2 linked regions of the Arabidopsis thaliana genome follow. The protein of the gene in region 2 interacts with the protein of the main gene of each other region in a pairwise test. Each region holds a gene or a part of one and is shown on either strand. Other genes may lie near its edges.

Evidence for each region. The genes of interacting proteins can lie anywhere in the genome.
Region 1: the proteins of AT3G52640 (region 2) and KCS20 interact in a protein complementation assay, tested with the Arabidopsis thaliana proteins (one large-scale study listed by BioGRID).

What each region holds. Positions count from the first base shown.
Region 1 is NC_003076.8:17,582,532-17,588,497, reverse strand, and holds the start of KCS20 (3-ketoacyl-CoA synthase 20), read right to left. Parts: upstream 2,976-5,966; 5' UTR 2,596-2,975; coding exon 1,810-2,595; intron 816-1,809; coding exon 12-815; 3' UTR 1-11. Other genes in the region: AT5G43755 (non-LTR retrolelement reverse transcriptase-like protein), read left to right, coding at 4,726-4,771, 4,938-5,171, 5,271-5,521. UniProt on the Arabidopsis thaliana protein: Mediates the synthesis of VLCFAs from 22 to 26 carbons in length (e.g. C22, C24, C26). Functionally redundant with KCS2 in the two-carbon elongation of C22 fatty acids that is required for cuticular wax and root suberin biosynthesis.
Region 2 is NC_003074.8:19,517,511-19,523,476, reverse strand, and holds the start of AT3G52640 (Zn-dependent exopeptidases superfamily protein), read left to right. Parts: upstream 1-2,932; 5' UTR 2,933-3,059; intron 3,060-3,134; 5' UTR 3,135-3,186; coding exon 3,187-3,271; intron 3,272-3,361; coding exon 3,362-3,475; intron 3,476-3,559; coding exon 3,560-3,674; intron 3,675-4,235; coding exon 4,236-4,318; intron 4,319-4,466; coding exon 4,467-4,543; intron 4,544-4,944; coding exon 4,945-5,022; intron 5,023-5,640; coding exon 5,641-5,712; intron 5,713-5,814; coding exon 5,815-5,888; intron 5,889-5,966. Other genes in the region: AT3G52660 (RNA-binding (RRM/RBD/RNP motifs) family protein), read right to left, coding at 112-252, 326-442, 520-879. UniProt on the Arabidopsis thaliana protein: Probable subunit of the gamma-secretase complex, an endoprotease complex that catalyzes the intramembrane cleavage of integral membrane proteins such as Notch.

The DNA of each region.
Region 1 (5,966 bases), on a different chromosome or scaffold from region 2:
AATTTAAAACACTACGACGATGTAATGGGAGTGATCCTAGGAACTTGAACAGGAAAGTCATCAATCTCATCAATCCATGGATTAGTCTTCTCGTCCATTGGATCAATCGTTCTCAAAGCTTTCCAAACTGCACTATTACACTTAAAACCCGATCCAAAAGCAATCTGCCAAGTCCTATCTCCTCTCTTAATCCTTCCTTTAGCTTCACTATACGCAAGCTCATACCAAAGTGAGCTACTCGAAGTGTTACCAAACCGGTTCAACGTCATCCTCGATGGCTCCATGTGCCATTCGGATAAATCCAAGTTCTTCTCAATCTCGTCGAGCACGGCTCTACCTCCCGCGTGGATACAGAAATGCTCGAAAGCTAGCTTGAAATCAGGAATGTAAGGCTTTATTTTCTTGACTTTGAAGACTTTTCGGGCCACAAGAGTCGCGAAAAAGAGAAGTTGTTCGGACATTGGTAGAACTAGTGGTCCGAGAGTTGTGATGTTTGTCTTGAGAGCTTCTCCAGCTATCGCCATTAGGTTTTTAGAGAGGGACACTCCGATTTTGCCGGTTTCTTCTGCGTTGTTGTCTTCTCGTTGGTAAACACAGCCAAATGCGTTGTCATCAGCTCCTTTGTGGGTACGGACGGTATGGATGAGCTGATATTTTGAACGGCTGCGATCAGAGGAGCGGTTCGAGAGAAGTACCGCGGCTCCGCCCATACGGAAGATACAGTTAGATAGAAGCATTGATCGGTCGTTGCCTAAGTACCAGTTTAGGGTTATGTTCTCTGTGCTCACCACTAGTGCGTATGAGTTTGGTTGCACCTGCATTATTGTCACAAATTTATTATTACTCTCAGTAAAATATGTATACAATAAATAAAAATAAAAACATTTTCGAATCTTAGAAAATTCGAACAATGGTTGTGACTAGACAACCGTTATACGGTGGACATTAAACACAAATATATAAATGCAGAGGTATGTGTGTGCATATGTCTCAAGTGTAAGTAAATTCTATTCAAGTAGCCCAACATTATGTTGTAGCACATTTATGACCTTTGGTTCAATTTGCCAACCACATTAGAGATTCGAGAAACTTGCAAGCACGTGTTTCCACGTTCGCTTCTTAGATCTACAATTTAATTATGTTTGTAAAAGTGAATGTAAATTTGTAATTATGCATCAATCCTAAATTCCTAATGCATGAACTATTTTCGTAATAAATGAATACTTTCGAGAAAGGAAAAAATATGTAATCAACCTTTATAAAATAAAACATTGATCATTTAAAACAACATTATGGTTTTTCCATTTTCACAACTACCACCAACCTAAAGACTACAAAGCCTGTCACTGTCAGAATTTTCATAGACACGTGACTTTTACACGTAAATTTGGCCTTTATGCTTTCATACAACTCATATAGAATAAAGTTGCATCCATATTAAGTCGGCAACTAAAAACCAATCCAGTGACTACATTTTGATCAAATAAGTCATAGAAATATTATAGCACGTATTAATGACATGAAAGCTAAGTCAATTAATCAAAAAATCTAGCTGGTAAGTGTACTAAATGCTTTATTAAGTGACACCAAGACGCAAATAATTAAATTTTGAAAGGCAAATTCTAGCTGGTAGTTCTATTGAATTCCCCTAAATAATTTCTAAAATCATGAGCTGTCATTAGCCCTTTCAAATTTTTAAAGTCGAATAAGAAAAAGTCCTAGATTTTATTCTTCCACGAATCACGACGACTCATAACAGTCTAAAAGACCAAACCGGATTAAACCAAACCGAATAATAAGATATTTTACCTGAAGCATCTGTTTAGCGAGATCAATGGAGATAAGGCCAGCACTACATCCCATTCCACCAAGATTATAGCTCAAAATGTTGCCTCTAAGCTTATACTTATTCACAATCATAGCAGAAAGTGACGGTGTTGGATTAAACAAGCTACAATTCACCACAAGGATTCCAATATCTTTAGGTTTCACACCGGTCTTCTCAAGAACCGCGTCAATAGCTCCGAACATAACTGTTTCTGCCTCTTTTCTCGCTTCTTCCATACAAGGATTAGGAGGAACACGAAGAAGAGCTTCAGGGAAGTAAGTTTTCTGACCTAGACCGGATCTTTCGAGGATCTTTTGTTGGAAAGCTAAGTTGTCTTCTGTGAAGATGCCTACACGTTGAGATCTGTCCATGAATGTTTCACGAGTGCAGATCAGTGAAGGGTCTGGTTTGTAACACGAGAAGTCGAGGAGGAAGACACGGCGGGGACGGGTGGTGAAGTAAGCGGTGGAGAGAGAGATTAAGAGTGCGGTGGCGAGTGTGGCGGAGAGGAAATGGAAACGGAGTGTGTTGTAGAGGAGAGAGAGGTCGTTGATGGTGAAAGAAGAGAGGTTAGCGATTGTTGCGGCGAGGAGAGGAAGGAGGAGGATGTAGAGAGCGTTGGAGATTAGGTAGTGGTAACCGAGTTTTACGTATTTGAGACGGACGGATAATAGAAAGTTTGGGAGGTTGTTTGGGTTAGGGTTTGGCTCGGCGTTTGTGACATGGACCGGGACTGGCCGGTGAGGTTGGTTTTGGTTATGGCTCATCGTGAGAATGAGCAAATGTTTAGGATGAAGAATGAGATGAGGATTTGGAGAGAAGTGTCAAGTGAAAGATTTGTTTCTCTCTCTCAAGAGTTGTTTGTGTTGTGTGAGAGAGAGAGAGAGGAGAAAAGAGAATGGCCTAAAAAGTTGGAGAAAATTTGAGAATTTAATGGGAAATTTTTGAGTGAGAGAGAAAGAGAGAGGGAGAGAGAGACTTAGCTATTGAATGTAGTTAGGGGAAATGGGAAATATTTAAGGAAAAAATATGGGTTTTTAAGAAATATACAAAGAGAATAATGTTAGCAAATAAATTGTTCAAACTAGTAAGACATCAAAAACATTTTCTGTTCAATCTAGTCAAGCAATTTTGTTTAGGACAGTACTATAATTTTTTAGTCCATGTATTATTCAATATTATTATTTATATTATTTCTATTTTTTAGAAATGGTAATTTAGAATTAAATTGTGAAATTGTTTTCATTTTCCAAATAAAAAGGCTATTAACATTAAAAGAAAAATGAAAACATGTTAACAAATGAAAAATCGAAACTAAAACTGGATAAAATAAGTTTTGTATTAGAGAGGGAAGATGCAACTACCCCAACGAAGCTTTTAATGTTTTTAGACAGTTGAGATTTGACACCTAAGAGACGGCGATGACTTTTATCCCAATTGGGGGCTTTTAATTTGGCCGCGTTCTATGCAATTTACTCTTTTACCCTTTCGTTGACCCGTTATCTTCGAAACTACCCTCTTTATGTGCACAACTTGAAGACAGTTACATTTTACGTGGCCGTGTGAACTTGTGTAAATTAATCATATTATATGATTCATATATAGATGGAAAATTAATAAGTGAACCGAAATAGAAGTTTGTTGAACCAAATATGAGTAATTGTGTGGGTTATTGCCATTAAAACTAGTCCATCCATTTCATGTTCTTTTGAATGAAATTGAGCAAGTCTTATAAATACCACTTAAAAAGGTTTTTGTAAACAAAAAATGGCATACATGTTCTAATTGGTCTACTAATACCATTTTTAATCCAATGTAACTTAACTAACCATCCCTTAAGTGAAAATTAATCAGATAGTTAATGTCATATTTTTTATGTTTCAAATTAAGGATGTTCAAGATTTTTATACAGTTGGATATCAATTATAAAGAGTCCCATTTCAAAACCCGCGACTAGATGATGAGCGGAATCATCGACCGGCACAGTCCCAATTCAAAACCATTTTGCAGATAGAGAATCATACATTCTCTGTCACTCTTCTATATTAATACCGGTTGACATTGCAGCTGCAAACAAAGAAGAAGTTTGAGTTGTGGTGGATATTTTCAGAAAAACCAATTAGATATAAGATTGAGGATTTTGCTCATCATAAAATAATCTATAACTTAAATGTAGTCAAAGGAAAAACATTGCACTTTCTTTATCGCCTACTACTATATTTATTGTGAATAAATTTTAAGATAATACAAAAAAAACTATTGAACCTCATCAGAAACTAATTCACACTTGATTTTTCCTTTTTGACCAAACGAATCAAGAAAAACATTGCATTTTCACATATGTTATATCATTATCAAAGAGGTTGTAATTTCATAAACAAAAGTCTATATTTTATTTTTTACATTCTTTTTTCGTTAAAAGGCTTATAAAAGTCTATTATTTACACTTTACAACATAGTATTCACTTAAATATTTTCATTATTCTATCTAAAACTAATTTGTATATGAAATCATAACAAACAATTAAAAATACAGTTCAAAACACCAAAATTTGCCCCAAAAAAAGAAATCCAAAATTTGATAATCGTTTCCGATCGAGTTCTATTTGACTTTGTATTGACTTGCTTTGGTCTGGTCTCATCTTTAAATACCACGTTCTAACCATTCTTCATGATTTTATTCCCGCGGCTTTGGTGAAAAACGTTTAATTTTCTTAAAATGATGTTGTAGACAAGAAAACTTTGTGTCATTATCAAGAAAATAAGAAATGATGCCATTCTACCAACTCTGAACTTGAAAGCCGAAGAATCGTCACAGATAGTTTTTGTCGTAGATGTGTCATAACGAGAGAAACTACGGATCATTTGTTCTTTACGTGTCCACACGCTCGCCAAATATGGAGAGCTTCGAACATTCCCCTTCCGAGTCTATCAAATCCCCAGGTGCATTATGAAACAAAAATTAAAGAGATTTATGAATTTCATAAAAATGCAGGACAACATACAATGCAAGGGCAGCTACCTATCTCGATCCTTTGGAGAATATGGAAAAGCCGTAATAAGCTAGTGTTCCAACGAAAACAGAACGATTGGTGGAGAGATATCAGAGATGCTACAAATGAAGCGGAAGAATGGATCACAAATGGCTTATGTGCGCAAGTTCCCACTCCGAGTACGACTAATGGCACAACTAGGCAGTTTCAGAGTCAGTGGCAAAAACCACATATGGGATGGATTAAGTGTAATTACGATGGCAGCTTTGTGAATCGAGTTCGTGGCTCTACGGCAGCTTGGATAATTAGAGATGATAACGGCGTGTTCAAAGGGGCTGCTCAAGCGACAGGTGCGACCGTTTCCTCAGCCTTTGAAGCAGAATGTCAAAGCCTAATTCTTACCATGCAACAATTATGGATAAGAGGCTTTAGAAAAGTAATACTTGAAGGCGACTGCAAGCTCCTAGTCAATGTTCTGAATGGAAGAGGCTCAAGATTTGATGCTATCAATTGGATCCATGAAATCAAAGTTTGGAGAAATAAGTTTGACGCAATCAAGTTCACGTGGTCACACAGATCAACAAATCAACCTGCTGATATTTTAGCGAAAAACCAGAAACATGCTCTGTCTTCATACATAGTTCATAGCTTTATCCCATTGTGTATCTCAAATGCTCTGTTTTCAGACTACGTTTCCTAAGTAATAAAAATGAAGTTCGTGTTAAAAAAAAAAAAAAAAAAATGATGCCATTAACTCATATCATAAGTTCATAACCCAAAACTAAACTATCGTTTCATGTGTACTAACTACTTGTGAGATTTTCACAAGTCAATAACATGCGTGTGAATCTTTAACGCGTGCGTGATAAGTTTTGTATTTATATCATCATTTGGTATGTGTCAACACACAATTTGGGGAGAGTTTGTGTGGTAAGTAATGCAAAAATATATGTTTGTTATATAACATAGAACTGATTCTAATTGCTAAGAAAATTCCTACCAAACGAAGCAATTACGTTCAACAATTATTCTTAGAAGTTTGAAGAAACCATTCTCTACCACTCCACAATTCTTTCTTCTTCATTGGTTTTACAAATTCTACCTTTTCAAGTCATTCTTAAATCTTAAATAAACAAAACCAGTTT
Region 2 (5,966 bases):
GAAAAAATACTTCTGTAAGTTACAAATTACACATGAACTTGAGATGAAAGTTACAGAAATAACTTAATAGACACTATAGGCTGAAACTTATCCAAGTTGCAGGAGACAAACCTTTGGGAGTTCGACAATTTGAACGCCTGGACCAATTCTATTTGCTGCTTTCTTAATGTCTGACTCCATCCAATTTCTAGGGACATTACCAAGAAAGAGACGATGCTTTGCTTGGGTAGTCGAACATTTTATCCTTTTACCCTATTGAATTACATCAAGTAAATAAACAAATAAGAGCCAGACAATTTACTAAGAATCAGGTCAAAGAACTTACTCTGAAGTCAGTGTTATTTAGAGTATCAATTGCTTCAGCAGCTAAGTCCTTACTTCTGAATGTTACAAATGCATACCCCTTTCCATCACCAGAATCCTTTTCCCTCATTATCCTAACCTGTTGATATCACACCAAACTCAGCACAAGATAAATTAAATCACAACCATAGTTTAGGTAAGAAGATGTCAAATTACCTCAGTAACTTCTCCTATAGATCCACAGAAGCCCTTTAAGTCCCCTTCAGTAGCATCAGTAGGAATCCCTCCAAGATAAACCTCTGAACCATGTGGAGGAAGTGCAAGAAGTTCAACATGCCTTTTCTTTTCTTCTTCCTCTTCCGTTGCAACAGCATCCTCCTCCTCCTCCTCTTCTTCCACTTCAACCTCCTCCTCTATCTCCTCTTCTATCTCTTCAATCTCCTCCTCTTCAACTTCTTCGTATTCAACTTCCTCCTCCAGAATCTCCTCAGGATCATTGTCACCATCAAGGTCTACCCTTTCCTCAGATTCCATGGAGTCATGAGCCTCAGAAGCAGCAGTCCTCGTCCTTGACATCTTAAATATCTAGAAAAGAATGCTTGCAGTACAACTGTGGAGGAGACACAGAAGCAAGAAGCAAGTGGGGAGAGAGAATAAAACCGAGGAAAGGTTGGAAAAGAAACAATAAGAGGCCAATAGAAAAGAAGAATAAGAAGTTCGAATTGACGCTTTGCCATAATGCGGCTAAAAAGGTGACAAACAAATAGACAAAGAGAGAAGAGGGCGATGAAATGCTCAACAGGTGAAACAAAAAAAGATAAGAAACGAAATGACCCCTGAGAGCGGATAAAAACCATGATATCATAGGCCTTGGTTAGATGCAAAGAAGGTTAAAATATTCATGGCAACAAGAAAGATAAGAAGGGCTAAAGTCAAAATAGTATCTTTGCTTAGAAAACTCCAGCTCCATGTTAGAATCTCCCACAACAGACATTGTTCAGAATTTGCAAGTGATATTTTTTATGCTGCCAATCTAACCTGTTAAGAGAATCCTCAGCTTATAACTACAATTCTATTTGATTATTTCACACAAATTGACCACAATGATAGATACAACCAAGAACAACCCAATACACATACAAAGCTATAACTCAGAGAAATGTCAATCAAAGGCGTGTTTAAGCTAACTTAGCAATCATTGGAACAAAAATGAGAGAAAGATTCAGTTTTTAATTAAGATAAGAAGAGTTACACAAATCCCAATTTTGGATCCCCAACCAAAAAAAAAGATTCACGAAAGGAAACGAAGAGAGGCGCAATGAGATGAAAGAAGAAAGAGCGAGAAAGTACCTGAGAGAGCTGCCGGAAGAAAACCCTAATTTTGAGAATTACGGAGAGGATGAAGAAGTGTCTATCTTCGCGCACCTCAGGTGTTGAAAAATATGTATATGTGTATGTTGTATTGATATGACCTAAAAGATGCCTAAGCGAGACTATCAAGGAGGTGTAGTCACTTTTTATTATGATGCGACCAATCTTATATTACGGCTTATTACCGATCTTAATATACGACAAATTTGATTTTTATGCAAAAAAAACTTTCAAGTTGGATGAGAATTTGCGCCTTATATTTTTTTTACACATTGTTTTCAAAATTAACACTAGTTTTTTCTTAATTAACATGCAGTTTATACATGATCTACGTTATTTGTTAAAATCACATATGGAATAATTTCTTTAAAATTATAGTTTTACCATATACAATATGTTTTTTTTTTTATCAATTTTTAGCCAAAACTTGCCTATATAATCTAGCAAATAATACCCTAATCAATCATAATTAGTCTACGATTTTGTAAAAATGAAGCCATAAAATGTAATACAAATTTCTTACAAAAAAAAAAAGAAAATGTGGAATGAAAATATTTTTTCTTTTTGTATAAACAACTAGATTATAACCCGCGGTACACCGCGGAGACAATTATTTTTTAAAATTAGTATATATAAAAGTCTGTAAATTATATTTATCTATAAAATATTTATATTTTATAGTTTACAATTGTTATTAAGTAACATCCTTCCAAACCCGTTCTGCCAAACCCGTCCCGTTAAAAAAATTTGTAGTACACCGCTAATTTAAAAAAAAAAATTACGGGATTGCAATTATATTTTAGTTTGTCAAACAAATTTTTGTTTTAAATAGTTGTCGAAATCTAATTCAAATTTTGGAGAAATAAGATTTAGTGAACTGATAAGAAATGTATTTATGTGCGTTTTGCTCATTTTAAGGGATTGCAATTGTATTTTGGTTTGTCAAATATTTTTTGTTTTAAATAATTTCCGAAATCTAGTTCAAATTTTGGAGAAATCTGCGTGATATATGGGATTGGAATATATTTGGAATATTTTTTGTTTGTTAATCAATTTATTGCTAAAAGAAAATAAATAAATAAAAGCCAGTGGCAGCCATTGTAAATAAGTTCCAAATCTAGGATTTATTTTACAAAATGGCTGCAAAAATATATATATAGATAGGTTCACTTAATTACTTTTAATATAATAAAATCCGCACAAAATGTGAATACCTCAATTTTTCTATATCTTGGGAATTTTGAAAGACATAAGAATCAACACGAAAAATCTCAGTCTTTGACTCAGACTCCCACCGCGTAATTCCGAGCTAGGTTTCCATTTCTCCGGCGAATCGGACCTCTCTCTCGCTCTCTCTTCCAATTTCCCCTTTTTTCGTTTCCCAGGTACTGCTTCTTCCGATTCTAACATTTTTTGATCTTTTATAAAATCGGTCACATTATTCTTGATCGTATCTGCAGCGATGATTTGCAAGTAGCTTCCGCTAATAATCGCAACTCTCTGACGGATGCTATGGCAATGGGACTTATTCGTCTTCTTTCTATAGCTTTTACACTTGTTCTACTTTCAATCCTTCCTCTTCATCTCTCTCTCGCTGGTGAGTTTCCTTTCCCCGGATAAAATTGGTGATGAAATGTATTAGTTGATAGAACATTGTAATCTGAAATTGAGGTTTCGTTTTGTGTAGATGAGATAACATCTATTGAATCTGTACCTGACCTTCAGAAGCTAATGTATGTTGCTGTTGATGGGTTTCCTTGTGTACGTCTTCTCAATCTGTCTGGAGAGATTGGATGTTCAAGTAAGCTTCTTTTGGGCCTCTCAGCTACATGATTTTTATCTGTTGATGAGGTCCTCTAAGTTTTATGTTTATAAAAATACTCAGATCCTGGAATAAATAAAGTGGTGGCTCCAATCATAAAATTAAAGGACGTTAAAGATTTGGTTCAGCCACACACTATTTTGGTTACAGCTGATGAAATGGAAGATTTCTTTACCAGGCATGTCTCCTTTTTCATTTACAAAACTTTCATGACCTCTATTCGATTTTGTTAGTGATCTCTTAATTTGTGGAGTAGTGCTTTCCCACTCGCTTGTAGTTCTCATTTTGGTGTTTTATTTAACGTCAAACAAGATTTAGCTTTTGGGTGCCAAATCAGCCTTTTTGGAAAGGCAATTACATCCTTAAGAATAACGTATATCTAAGAGTTTGTTTTCATTAGTACTTGAGTATTTAAGGCAAACACTTTTAGTAATCTTCCATGACAGTGAAACAACAGATTGGAATGAGTATACCCTCTTATCACCATTTTTGAAATCTGCTAGAAATGTAGTCACTTGGTTGTTGGTGCATGGATTAGGTGTTTAGTGGAACCAGTAATTCATTGGCTTTTTCCGCTTTATTTTCATTCGACTAACGGAAAGTAGGTATACCTCCAAACACTTTACTGTAGAACCCTGCAGTCTGGCTTACTTCTGGCATTGTTCATTAGACTTGTACATCGCTTAGACACTCTATTCAGTAGAAATAACAGGACCACTCCTCTTTGTGCCTTTTCCAGGGTGTCAACTGATTTGAGCTTTGCTAGCAAAATTGGTGGTGTTCTAGTTGAATCAGGATCTAATTTCCAACAAAAGTTAAAAGGTACTATGTCCATCCACATATTTATGATTCTGTCAACTTGAATGGCTAATTCCTTAAATTGTCTTGAGTTCTTAATTCCCTTAAAAATAGTACTTGATACTTCTTATCTATGTTGATGGCGTTAGTGTTTCTTTCTTCTTTATTGTAGGGTTTTCTCCTGATAAAAGGTTTCCTCAAGCCCAGTTTTCACCCTATGAAAACGTTGAGTACAAATGGAATTCAGCTGTACGGTAGCGTAAACTCTGTCTGGATCTTTGAAATTACTTCTTCCTGTCAACTCTTTTATAGTGGGTTGGAAATTGTTTCAATCAGTTATCACCAAATCCATAGTCAAGCATTTCCGAGTTATATGCTGTTTTCTTCTGGAACTAAACTTAACTACCTGCTAACACACAAATACCATAAATCCTTTTCTTATGGTATAATTTTACTGGAGGAATGCATGTATCTGCCTAGATGATCACTTATAAAGAAGTTCAAAAATCTGTTGCATATTTATCTACCTTAATTAAAAGATAGTTCCTCTTATTGTTATCTACGGAGAAAAAATGATTTTGATTCTTATGAGTAGTTGCAGGCGATAAGTCTCTAGCCATTGACCATTGCTAAAAAATGATTATTTGCAGGCATCAAGCATCATGTGGAGAAATTATAATTTTCCTGTGTACTTATTGTCAGAAAGTGGCATATCAGCTGTGCATGAGGTAATCCTTCAAACTTGCATTCTTTTGCAAATTTTAAATGTGTCTATTTGTGTTGTCAGAAAAGCGAAATTGATGACATTTTTAGAAATATGAGGAAATGAACTCAAGGCTTAGAGAGGCATTATGACTGTTGGTCACTCTTAAGAGCAGTATTGCTTGATGAAAATATGGCTGTAAAATGATGCATGAGATATGTATCTCCAAGGTCATATGAAATGAATACTCCTAGTTTAAACTGAATTAGTCTGCAGAAATTTTTCTAAGCATTGATTACCCATTTTAAATAAGAATACAAATTTGGTCCTGGAATGTTTGTCTCATCCAGCTGAAGGCAACTCCCAGCTGCATCTGTAGATTTCAAATGCATGTTGCTTTCCATAGCCTGTAATTGGACTCAACCATAGCCTTTCCATTTGTCTTGTGGTAGTTGCCTTTAAACTGCTGGTCAACTATGTCATTCTATAGTATGTTGTTGTCCTTACCAGATGAGGTTCTGTCAAGAAGCTAGCTTTATGTTTCTGTTGTGTTGGTAGCAATCTAAAGTGTATAGTTTATGTGGATAGCTTCACTTTTTTCAGGTTATCGACTACATATTTACATCCTATTATATTTGCGCAGATCCTTTCCAAGAAAAAGATGAAGCATGGAACATATACCAGTGATGTTGCTGAATTCAATATGGTTATGGAGGTATATGGCTTTAGCAATCTTGCTCACTGGAACGTTAACCAGCTTTATGGATCTTCACTTTGACTTAGATTATGACACCCAATTCTCTATTTTTTGTATTAGACTACCAAAGCTGGAACACACAATTCGGAGGCTTGTTTGCAGGAGGGAACTTGCCTCCCATTGGGCGGATATAGGTAAAGATTTAGGTCTTTATTACTGTCTGATCTAATGACATATGAAAACCTTTTAAAGGATACGTTTCGTTTTCTAAC